Callithrix jacchus: one gene and its partners. The protein of the gene in region 3 interacts with the protein of the main gene of each other region in a pairwise test. Links are inferred from orthologs where the notes say so. Each region holds a gene or a part of one and is shown on either strand. Other genes may lie near its edges.

What was found.
Region 1: the proteins of OPRM1 (region 3) and GJA4 interact in binary tests that used the Homo sapiens proteins (3 or more experiments, as listed by UniProt). The link is inferred for Callithrix jacchus from reciprocal best matches to the Homo sapiens genes OPRM1 and GJA4.
Region 2: the proteins of OPRM1 (region 3) and RANBP9 interact in binary tests that used the Homo sapiens proteins (3 or more experiments, as listed by UniProt). The link is inferred for Callithrix jacchus from reciprocal best matches to the Homo sapiens genes OPRM1 and RANBP9.

What each region holds. Positions count from the first base shown.
Region 1 is NC_133508.1:71,355,380-71,359,458, forward strand, and holds the start of GJA4 (gap junction alpha-4 protein), read left to right. Parts: upstream 1-1,208; 5' UTR 1,209-1,949; intron 1,950-2,138; exon of another isoform or gene 2,139-2,448; intron 2,449-2,637; exon of another isoform or gene 2,638-2,885; intron 2,886-3,295; exon of another isoform or gene 3,296-3,297; 5' UTR 3,298-3,314; coding exon 3,315-4,079. UniProt on the Homo sapiens protein: One gap junction consists of a cluster of closely packed pairs of transmembrane channels, the connexons, through which materials of low MW diffuse from one cell to a neighboring cell.
Region 2 is NC_133505.1:17,024,215-17,027,862, reverse strand, and holds part of RANBP9 (ran-binding protein 9), read right to left. Parts: intron 1,888-3,648; coding exon 1,775-1,887; intron 613-1,774; coding exon 504-612; intron 1-503. UniProt on the Homo sapiens protein: May act as scaffolding protein, and as adapter protein to couple membrane receptors to intracellular signaling pathways. Acts as a mediator of cell spreading and actin cytoskeleton rearrangement.
Region 3 is NC_133505.1:160,798,343-160,802,490, forward strand, and holds the start of OPRM1 (mu-type opioid receptor), read left to right. Parts: upstream 1-1,240; 5' UTR 1,241-1,431; coding exon 1,432-1,721; intron 1,722-4,148. UniProt on the Homo sapiens protein: Receptor for endogenous opioids such as beta-endorphin and endomorphin. Receptor for natural and synthetic opioids including morphine, heroin, DAMGO, fentanyl, etorphine, buprenorphin and methadone.

The DNA of each region.
Region 1 (4,079 bases), on a different chromosome or scaffold from region 3:
GGCAGCCTGAGCAGGGCCAGGGCAGTGGGAATGCAGGGAAATGTGGGGTTCCCGGGACGTTTCCCAGGTGGAAAGGCCAGGTTGTGGTAACTGTTGTCTTGGTTGATCCCAGCTTCTTCATCCTCTGGGGAAGAGACCAAGTTATTCGAACCTCCTAATTTGAGGAAGAGGTCAGAGCAGGGTGAGGGCAGCCTTGACGTCACTCCCCAGCCCTCCCCTTGCTCCTCCCTCTTCCCAGCAGACTGAATTAGAAAGGCTTTGGGAGAGCTGGGGCCAGCCCCAGGAGAGAAACTCGGGAGCGAGCAGAGCTGCAGTGGGGGCGTGGTGAGAACCAGCCTTCAGGAGCCTTGGTTCTCATGCCCTCAAGGGTCAGAACTAAGTGGGGCAGTTGTTAGCTTCAGAAATCCAGGAGACTCAGTTCAGCCTGGCCCTGAGGAAGAAGCCTAGAGGGGAAGCCAGCTCAGCCGGACCCCCCCAGAAGTAGCCATCCCTGAAGTTCTCAGGTCTGAGTGTCCCCACTCCCTGCCAAAGACGTCCTCTGTTCTGAAGACAGAACCCTCAGGGACCCAGCCCTGGGGCCCAGGGAATCCAAGGACTGAATCCTGTTTTGGAGGAACAGGGACTTTTGCGCCACCAGCATCCCCCGCCCCGCCAGTAGCCCCCTGCCACCTTCCCTTTCCTCAGTTGTGCCAGCCCCTGCCACCCTCCAAGAACAACCAACAGGTCCTTTTTGTTACAGTATCACAATGTTTTTAGCCTCCACTCACTTGAAAAACTTTATCTACCACCATTACACGATGTGCTTTGATGATGGTACACACTATATGCCATCAACCCTACAGAGTAGATTCTATTACTATCCTCATTCTGTAGAGGAAGAAATTGAGGCACAGGGATTTGAGTAACTTTCCTAAGGGTACAGGAGTCAACAGCAAAGTCTCAACTCCTGGGCTCAGCCACCAACAAAGTCTCAGCACTGAGGGTAGTGGCCACCATCTCGGGACCCCACAGCTCCAGGCCCTAGAGCCACGCTCATGCTGCCTCTCTACCTAGAATGCTCATCCCCTCCACTTGGCTAATGGAGAGGGAAGGGCATTTCCTCTCCTCCAGGAAATGTTCCTAACCAAGTCCCCTGGGAATCATCCAGTGCCTCTCAGGAGAACTTCCCACATTTATCATTTTACCATTATCCAAGGGCTGATATGCTCAGTCCCTGCACCAGCAGCCAGTGAGGGAGGAGGCCAGAGAGCAGGTTTGGCTGGTTCATCATGGTAATCCCGGGTCCCCATGCAGCATCTGCAGCACAGCAGACCCTCATTGATGTTCATCCACCTGTGATGCCTGAATGCTGGCTCTATGTAGCCCCTTCATTCCTAGGGATGTCCCTGCACCACCCGGCCACCATTTACAGGCATGAGAATGGAGTCTAAGCTAAAGGTCAGGCGGTTCCCCACCCCCCCCACCCCCCCACCCCCCACCTCACCCCACCCCCCCACCCCCCCCACCCCTGTCTCAAGGAGTCCATGGGAGTTGCTTAATGGCCTCTGATTGTGAAGCCTGCCCAGGCATGGAGATGTTTGAGAATTCTGGAAGGACAAGGGCTAGGTGTAGGCAGAGACCCCAGCTCTACCACAGATGCTGGAAGTGTGAATTACAACCCCTGTCCCCCGTTGTGGCTCTCCACGCCATAATCAGCCTGGATCACCTCATCCTGGCACACTAGAGCCACCTAGCAAATGAGGGGTCCCCACACCCCAGCCCCATCCGCCCACCCTCACAGGCCCCCAGGCCAGTAGCCCAGATCAACAGCTTTTACCGCAACCCTTTCAAAACCAGCCACCCTGAGAGATCCTGGCCTGGGAGAACTCCCCTTCCCCCGCCAAAGAAACTACAGAAGGAGAGTTTACCGTCTGGAATACCTGGTGGAGAAAGAACGGAGGAGAGGAGGGGTAGGTCAGCCCCTCTTGCCCCCACCCCAAATCACAGGGCCACCTCCCCAGAGTGGGTTTAGGGAGTCTGCACCTCCCTGTCCCCGCCCCCGCCCTCTCTCCAGCGCCCGCCGCCCTCCCCGTCACGTTTCCTGCCCCCACCCCGCCCCTCTGCGTTATTTAAGGCGCCCCCGCCGCCCGCGCGGTCCTGCAGGGCTCCCGCGGGCGCCGTTCCGGCCACCGTCCCCACCTCCACCTGGGCCGCCCGGCAGGCAGGCGGTGAGTCGCGAGGTAGGAGGGGACCGGGGACGCCACCTGCTCGCGGGAGGCCGGGCGGAGTCTTGGGTCCTCCGAGGCCCGGACGGGGGTTGCTGCGGAACGCAGCAACTACAGAGCCGCGCTCACCCAGGTGGCCTTGGCCAGGCTCCCACCCTCTTTCCGTGGAATCCTTATAACAACTGGAGGCGGTGGGGATACTATTGTTTCCACGCTACCGTGGAGGAGACTGAGGCGCCCAGAGGTTTGTTCCTTATCCAAGGGGCCGCAGTTACTAAAAGCCAAGATTTGAACCCAGGGCTGCTTCCAGAGCCTGGCTCGAACAGCTTTGCACCTGGGAAGAGGCACTTCCCCCTTGGGAACTCTGTGGCCTGTGCCTCACCCTGCTGTGACGATTCCTTTCAAGAGTCTAGAATTTGGCAGCATCAGCTTTGGGGGGGAGGAGGTGGGAGTGGAGGTGGAGGAAGAAGACCATGGTCATTATTGCTGACAGGTGGAGCTAAAGGATGCTGCTGCCTTCAGCTTCTAAAAACTCTTCCTCCTCCCATCCCCTGTGGCTCAAAGATTAGAATAAAGCCAGCTGGGTAAGATATGAAGCTGGGAGCAAGGACCTGAGGCTTTGAGCCCCCAAGAAGCAGAAGATAACACCTCTACCAACAGCACCAGCCCCGCTCTCTGAGGGTAGCCAAACTTGGGCAAAAGGGAGGAAGGGCATAGCCCAGCTGCATAGCCTTGGATAAGTTCCTCAAATTCTGTTCCCATAGGCAAAGGAGCCTCAACTCCACCCAGATTTCCTTGGCCTGTGGCCATCCTGGGGCGGTGGCTCAGGGACAAGAGGGACATAGATGTGTGATTAGGCAGAGCCCTTAGCCATAGCAGAATGATACCATGCAAAGAGGTTGGCAGCCATCATCCAGAAATCTGCTTTGAGTCCTGCCTGCACTGCTGAGTAGGAGCCCCCAGGCTGGTCCTTCCCCTTCCTGAGCCTGGGTTTCTTTGTAGGTAGGACGGGTGAGGCAGACCTCCCTTCTTGTTGCTGGGCAAACGAGAAGAATGTCATGCTGACATGCTGACACGCTCTGTCTCCTTGCAGACGGAGGCCCAGGAGCCATGGGTGACTGGGGCTTCCTCGAGAAGCTGCTGGACCAGGTCCAGGAGCACTCCACCGTGGTGGGCAAGATCTGGCTGACAGTGCTCTTCATCTTCCGCATCCTTATCCTGGGACTTGCCGGCGAGTCAGTGTGGGGTGACGAGCAGTCAGATTTCGAGTGTAACACGGCCCAGCCGGGCTGCACCAACGTCTGCTATGACCAGGCCTTCCCCATCTCCCACATCCGCTACTGGGTACTGCAGTTCCTCTTCGTCAGCACGCCCACCCTGGTCTACCTGGGCCATGTCATTTACCTCTCTCGGCGAGAAGAGCGGCTGCGGCAGAAGGAGGGAGAGCTGCGAGCACTGCCGGCCAAGGACCCACAGGTGGAGCGGGCACTGGCGGCTGTAGAGCGTCAGATGGCCAAGATCTCGGTGGCAGAAGATGGTCGCCTGCGCATCCGTGGAGCACTGATGGGCACCTATGTGGCCAGCGTGCTCTGCAAGAGCGTGCTAGAAGCAGGCTTCCTCTATGGCCAGTGGCGCCTGTATGGCTGGACCATGGAGCCTGTGTTTGTGTGCCAGCGAGCGCCCTGCCCCTACCTCGTGGACTGCTTTGTCTCTCGCCCCACGGAGAAGACTATCTTCATCATCTTCATGCTGGTGGTTGGACTCATCTCCCTGGTGCTTAACCTGCTGGAGTTGGTGCACCTGCTGTGTCGCTGCCTCAGCCGGGAGATGAAGGCACAGCAGGGCCAAGATGCACCCCCAACCCAGGGCACCTCC
Region 2 (3,648 bases), about 140 Mb from region 3:
AATCAAAAATGATGAGTTCGTGTCCTTTGTAGGGACATGGATGAATCTGGAGAACATCATTCTCAGCAAACTGACACAACAGAAAATGAAACAGCGCATATTCTCACTTATAGGCGGGTGATGAACAATGAGAACACATGGACACAGGGAAGGGAGTACTACACACTGGGGTCTATTGGGGGGAATAGGGGAGGGACAGTGGTGGGGGAGCTGGGGAGGGATAGCATGGGGAGAAATGCCAAATGTGGGTGAAGGGGTGAAGGCAGCAAAACACACTGCCATGTATGTACCTATGCAACTATCTTGCATGTTCTGCACATGTACCCCAAAACCTAAAATGCAATAAAAATAAGTAAATAAATAAATGTACATTACAAAATTACATATATTTGTAAAGGGGGAAAATTAAAATTACAAAAGCATGAAATATATCTTTTATTATATAAAATATGACAAATATTTATAACACATAACAAATATAGCATTTTATTATGCAAACTCACTTTAAGGTGAAAAGAAGATTAGGATTTCTTTCAAGTAAACTTGGGTATAACTGTTGTGTTGTTTCAATGGCTTCTCCCATTCTTCCTGCTAATACCAATTTCTGAATTCCTATTCAGTAATAGAAAGCAAACGATTAACTTTTACAAAGGTAGGTAAAACATAAACTTAGTGGATCCTCAGAAAAGGGAGTTAGTAAAAATCTGCAAATAAATTATGATTAATTTCTATTTCTTTTTCTAACATCATAGTTTCCATTAGGCAATCCAGGAAACATTTCAGACATACTAAAAAATTAGAAAAAAACATACTGTCACAAATTAAAAAAAAAAAATCACAAACACACAAGTAATATAATTAAAACACATATTATGCAATACTGAAGTTTCAAACACAGATTAAAAAGACTATGTTTTAAAGAGATAATAAAATGCTTTATCAAATATGACTTTCTGAACAAAAGACTAAAAAAATGCTAGCTTTTGAATAAGATTCCAATTTAACAGAGATTCACTGAGCATTCACTTGATCTGACCTTTTTTAAATTAGATGAGGATACAAAATGAGTTAAGTGATCTCTGTTCAACAGAGCTTATTAAAATAGTAGAAAAGGATAGCACACAATTAACTACAATACAATGTAATCAGTGCTATTACAGCGATTTGATCTATGAAACGGTTGTTTTCATCCACCTATTTCACCCATCTGTTTTGTTTTCATCCCCCTCTTGTCAAGTCATACCAACCCTGATGGAATACAGCACCAATTTTAGGATGGCTAACCATGGAACAGTTATGCTAACCTGCCATTGTTATTATAGGGCCTGTTTTATCTTTGGCCACACAGGCCAGCACTAGGATCTAAATAATAAATACGTATGATCAATACTATCTTATATTAGATAGCAACTTAAATTCAAAGATACTTACCTTTCTTTCACATATTATCTCCTCCAACTAATCAGAACTACTTATTTTTAAAAAATTTTAGTTTTTTTCTGAAAGTTTAAGAAAACATTCTTTTAAGAAAAAAATGGTAAAGACATTCCTTACGAAAATTTCTGCAAAATCTCTCTAGAATTAGAATTCTGACACAGACCTATGTGAATTTTTAAGGCTGATCTTCAAAAATGTCAGTGAAAATAAAATTCAGAGGCATCCATTTTAAATATACTTGAAATTATTTAAATTAAGAAAATAAAATTTCTAAAAATTAAAGCAACCCAATCTATAATCTGAAAACAAATGTTAGCATGCACCACAGTGTCCTTACTTTGTCTATTCTTAATGGAAGCTAATTCTTCTAGAACGGTCTGGTCTGTAGATCTGGCAAAGGCCTCTGCTGTGGCACAGTACCCATGGTGGACTAAATAAGATGAAACCATTCTTAAAATAAAACAGAAGAAACATACATCTTTTAGTGAAGAGAATACATGCTTCATACTACAATTTACATAAACAAGGTCTACTCTGGTGTTACAAAAACGAACCTATTTTCTTGAAACAAGGTGTTGTTAAGAACCTCACCTTTAAAGTAAGCTTTTGAAAAACATCATTTGTTGTATTCATGTAGTATTTTCAAAAAGATAACGGAAATCCCATATTGAGAGTACCCTCCTAAAATAAATATTACTTGAGAATCAAGGACATTAAGTGACCTTTTTTTTGATTCTTAGATTATCATTACCCCCAGTTCCCTTCCTATCCTATTATTCAGCCCTACTAACCGTAATTTTCATTTTGCTTTTATTATATGACTTATTCCAGTAATTGCTGGCATTCTGTAAAATAATCAACTTTAAAGTAAAAGATTAAATGTTAACGTTCCAAAGTTTGATAATTTTCTTTACATACCAGTTAAATAAGATGGGATCACAAAGTAAGTACAGAATACTAAGGTGAATCCAGAACAATGTCTATAAAGCCTAGTTAAAGGAAGAACCAGCCTTCTAGTCTAAATCAATTACTATGGTTTGCCCAAGAGATTTATCAAATATGATTTACATGTAAGTGACATATTTCCAAGACAATAATCTTTTTAAAAGGTACCAGGTAGTCAAAACATGTATCTACCACCCACAAAATGTGGTTAGAAAAACTGGTGATCCAACAATATTAACCCAAGTATCTGTTATCTCCAAACATTCAACTCTTAAACCTGCCTCCATCTGACACTACACAGGCTAGTTAGAAAATGGTGGGAAGCAGTGGTTCACCAGGAGGAGACTGAGGAGAAGTGGAGAGGAAGCAGGGAAAAAAGTCTAAGAAACAAATCTGCATCTTATTTTATCCAATTGTTCAAATTAATTTAAGAGGGAGGGGACCTTTTAGAATGGACTTCTCAAGAGTTCATGGTAAGTAACAATTCAGTGAAGAAGTGGGAGGATCCTGGCTGTAAGATTAAAATCAATGTTTTCTATGACCCTGCCATGACGCTCAGTGAGAGCATTAAAACAATGTGGCGCCAGAACAACCCAACCTAGAGCTTCAGCTCATGGTGACCATGGGATTCTGCATCAGGGTTGTCTGTTCTCTGAGCTGGACAGAAAAACGAGTGTTCAAGCTCTGTAATACAAATGATTGTAGTTCTAGGGAAGAAGTGTGCTTTCACAGTCATCATCATGTCTCTTAATCACTGCCTTTTCTAACAAAATACCCCCAAAATTTTATGACAATTTTAAAGTTAAGAATATTCAAAGCAATTATAAGGACATTTAAGATGACATGTGTTAGACCAATTGCATCTGAAAGTCTGCTATTTTCTTGGCTTGGATTATAATAGTGAAAAGGACTTTTTAAATTTAATGGTATTTATTAAAAATTTAAGTCTATACTTATACTGCTGTTAGTTCAAATATTAAGAGCTTGGGCATGGCCAAGTTCATGTCCAAAAACCACAGATCCTAATTATAAAATCTAGATTATCTCTCAACTTTATCTTTTGCATTAACATTATTAAAAGTTAAATTGTGTAACGTACAGAAATCCTATTACTAAGAAAAGCAAATGAATTAACCTAGCCTAGATGACCTATCATTTTATTTCCTCCATCCAATTAATTCAGACAGAAATACAATTCTATATGTGTCATCAATTGTTTTTAATTTGTTTAGTGGAGTAAATTACTTTTTGTTGAGAGAATAAAAT
Region 3 (4,148 bases):
TAAATATTCCTTTCAAGGTCTTCCCTCCATGCTTCCCAAGAGTGCAGTTCGCTTTTCAAGACCAACTGGGAATATGTATTTTCAATGTATATGGTTAAAAGATAGACACATGCACAAATATAGACACATACAGAAATGAGAATTACTTCAGAATTGGTGTTAACTTTACAAAAAAAGAACTTACTCTTTGAATTTACAAATTTCTTTATAAAATAGAAGCACTGGTGGACTTCTAATTTATAAACAAATTTGTAAATACAAAGAGTAAGTTCTTTTTTGATACCTCACTTCTAAAGTAAGGTATAAAATTCAAAAACGTATCCATGCTTCTCAAGGATTTTATTGTAGGCCACTCTAATTCCATATGCTATGTGGCTCTTCCTAGACTTTCTACACTAGCAAACAGACTGAATGCAAATTTTGTTTGGTGTTAACAACCTTCTTCTCAGAAGCATATGCTTATCGAGAAAGTCTGGGGTTAACAAGGATAAATAATTCCAAACAGGTCTATGAGATTTAAGATGTGAAAGATCAACATTATCTTTAGCTGATTTTACTGGATGCCACAAACTTCTGATTTCCGTAACCAGTTCTTGTTCCTCTTCTCCACTAAGACAAAATCAGAGGCAAACAGAACTTCACCCTAAGAGAAACTGGGGAAAGCGGGGAACAGGTTTTCTCCGCAAAAGTTTATTTGTTTCTCATTTCTTTTTCAGAAAATAGAGGATCGCTGTTGTTTCCAGCAGGTTGGTTGGGAAGAAAATTGGAAAAACATTATTACCGTTTCTTAGATGTTAGCAACAAGGACTGCAAAAGAAGATTGTGTGTCCCCTACTCTCAAATAGTCAAAATTGTCAGTAGGGATGAAAGAGCATTGGGGTTTCAGGGTTGTTAGGGTTTCATCAAGCCAATGTATTCCCTGCCAGATTATAAGGAGAAAAAAGAGCTGGAAAATAGAGTGATGTTAGCCCCCTTTCTTATTTTCACTGCTGCCAAAAACTAACTCTGTCTCTCTCCCCAGTCCTTCTCTCTCTCTCCCTCCCTTAGATGTGTTTGCACGGAAGAGTGTCCAGTGAGGAGACCGATTCCTTGGATCGCTTTGCGCAAAATCCACCCCTTTTCTCTCCTCCCTCCCCTCCAGCCTCCAAATCCCTCTTGGCCCACCCTCCCCTCCCGCAGCCGCCTGGGGTCGGGGATGAGCCTCCGTGAACTACTAAGGTGGGAGGGGGCTATAGGCAGAGGAGAATGTCAGATGCTCAGCTCGGTCCCCTCCGCCTGACGCTCCTCTCTGGCTCCGCCAGGACTGGCCTCTGTAAGAAATAGCAAGAGCTGTGGCAGCGGCGAAAGGAAGCAGCTGAGGCGCTTGGAACCCGAAAAGTCCTAGTGCTCCTGGCTACCTCGCACCGCAGTGCCCGGCCGACCGTCAGCACCATGGACAGCAGCGCAGTCCCCGCGAATGCCGGCAATTGCACTGATCCCTTGGCGCCCTCAACTTGCTCCCCAGCGCCCAGCCCTGGTTCCTGGGTCAACTTGTCCCACTTAGATGGCAACCTGTCCGACCCCTGCGGTCCGAACCGCACCGACCTGGGAGGGAGCGACAGCCCTTGCCCTCCGACTGGCAGCCCCTCCATGATCACGGCCATCACCATCATGGCCCTCTACTCCATCGTGTGCGTGGTGGGGCTCTTCGGAAACTTCCTGGTCATGTATGTGATTGTCAGGTAAGGAAGGGGCTCCAAGTGGAGGATTCAGAGGCTCATGGGGGTACAAAGAGACACCTGACCCCCAGGGCTCAATCTTGGGCGGGAGGATGAAAGAGGGGAGGTAAACCGGGGAAACTCTAGAGGCGACCATGGACAGTGATTGCTACTTCTGTATTTCCCCAATTGCTACAGAAATACTCCAAAATTTCAGAAGCAGAGAAGTTGCTTTGGTAAAAGCTACAAAGGTCTAGGGGTGGGGGTGAAGATAAGTGTAGACTTAGAGCTCTTCCTTATTCTGAGCAAAGAGGGCTCTTGTCAGAGTCCTACACTCAGTCCCTCTGCAGGAGCTATGGAAAGAGTAAGTTGTGAAAAATGACAGAGAAATTCTAGAAATTCTAGTTAGCTTTCCCAAATTTGGTTGAGGGGCGGGTTGGAGTGGGTGGTAGGTTGCAAGTCTTCTCAGTTGTTTTGAGATGAACCCTGGCAACTTTCCTACTTCTGCTGGTTCAGTACTTCCCTGTACCACAACCCCACCCTTCCTCCTCCCCTGCTGTAGCAGCCCTTAACTAACTCTTCCTTTCATCCTGAGGCAACACTAGATAAAGGAAGTTTTCCTGGCATCTCTCCATGGTAGTTTTGCTCTTTTATAACAAACATGACAGCTGTGTTGCTTAGATTAGTTTGCTGTTGGTAGCTTCAGATCGCCTAAGTCACAAACTGCATCTGGAATGGGTAGGATGGTTCAGGAGAACCGCAGGGCATGGCTGTATTTCAATGCCTCCACAAGTTGGAGTTAATTAGGAGTCACCAAAAGCACCATAATTCCACATTAGAAACTACAGAAACTCTCATACAGGAAGTTGTGATGGTGCTGTAAACAAAGTGTTCTTATCAGGTAAAATTAATTCAAAAGAATTGTGGTCCACTTTCTGTTTACCTAGATGTTCCACCTATATTTGGCAGAGTGTGCAAGCTCTCAATATTGATTGTGATTGATGCTGATTGTGTTGGTGTTTACCTGTATATTCAAATACTACATGTGAATGTGAAATGGCATGTATCTGTTTTTGTTAAAGAAGAATAATATTTTAACACTTTAAAATGGTTCCTAGATAGATGTTTTTTGTTTTTTGTTTTTAACCAGGGGTATGTGTATGTAGAGAACATGGCATTTTCACTTTTAGTTACAATATTTGTTTCACCTATTCAGCAAGTATTGCAGGTTTGAGAGGAGCTCTTAAATCATTTAACAATTGCTCTCCCTGGTATGCTTTTATTACCAAGATGCTGCAAATTGCTTGTAAGCAATTCTTTCCACTCATGTGTCTGATTTCTTTAATTAATGATTTTTAAAGAATAAAACTAATTTCTCTGATCTTTTCATGAGGAATAAGATAAGTATTGTCTCTGAGAAAAGAGCACCATCTATTGAGAGGAAGGCTAACAACAGAAGGAAAAATGTGAGAAGATAAATGGAAGAATTTATTTTTAAAAACATTTACTTTAAGTAATTAAATACAATGATTCACATTAAAGATTAAAAACCAAGTCTCACTCTGCAGTTATGATGACAAAGTTATAATTAAAGGCCTGCTTTGTGAAAAGAAAATATATTTCTCATTTGTTCTATAAGAATTTCATAGAATCATAAACTAATCAAGGTACAAGGGACTCTAGAAATTATGTGTGCTAAGTAAACTGAGGAACAGAACATGTAAATGATTTTCTCCAAGAACAGATAGTTCATTAATTCATTGCCATTGAATCTTTCCCAGCTAATGTAATTTTGAGTTTATTATGCTGGCAAATCATGATTTGAGTTAATTCAACTATTAGGTTGACAGAGTGGATTGATATAGCAATAATAACTTGGGAATAGCAAATGATCCCCAAATTCTGTATGGAATCCTGGAGGGAAAAAGCATGAAACAGAAATTACCAAAGCATCTAGGAATCCTGCCATCAGAAACATAATATTTTATTCCTTTTTATTGCTTCTCCTTGGTATTTTCCTTCCTCATTTTTCTCCTCATTAATTTATGCTTTCATATACAGAGAGAGCCAATAGACTGGCAACTGGCTGTGAAATGAGCAGATAGGTCTTCTTCCAGTATAGAAGAGATTTGGGTGAGTTAGTTTTAAAGGCATTACCTCTGGCCTCTTGTTGACTTGGAGAAAGATGGTGACAGTGCATCTTACTGAGAACATGATATTATGCTTTATTCTCAGTACTGAAAGTTCTTACAAAATACAGTACTATTTGAAAGGTCATCCCAGACACCCACCTGTGGCAGACTGGGTTTGAATTGCAGGGTCAGGTAATCCTCTCAGAATGTGACCGTGAAACAGAAAAATGGGCAGGTTAGTGACAGATGAAGTGACAGGGAAAGCATCTGGGGATTGGAGTAAGTATGTCTATTTAGCTGAAAATATTTAACTGACTGT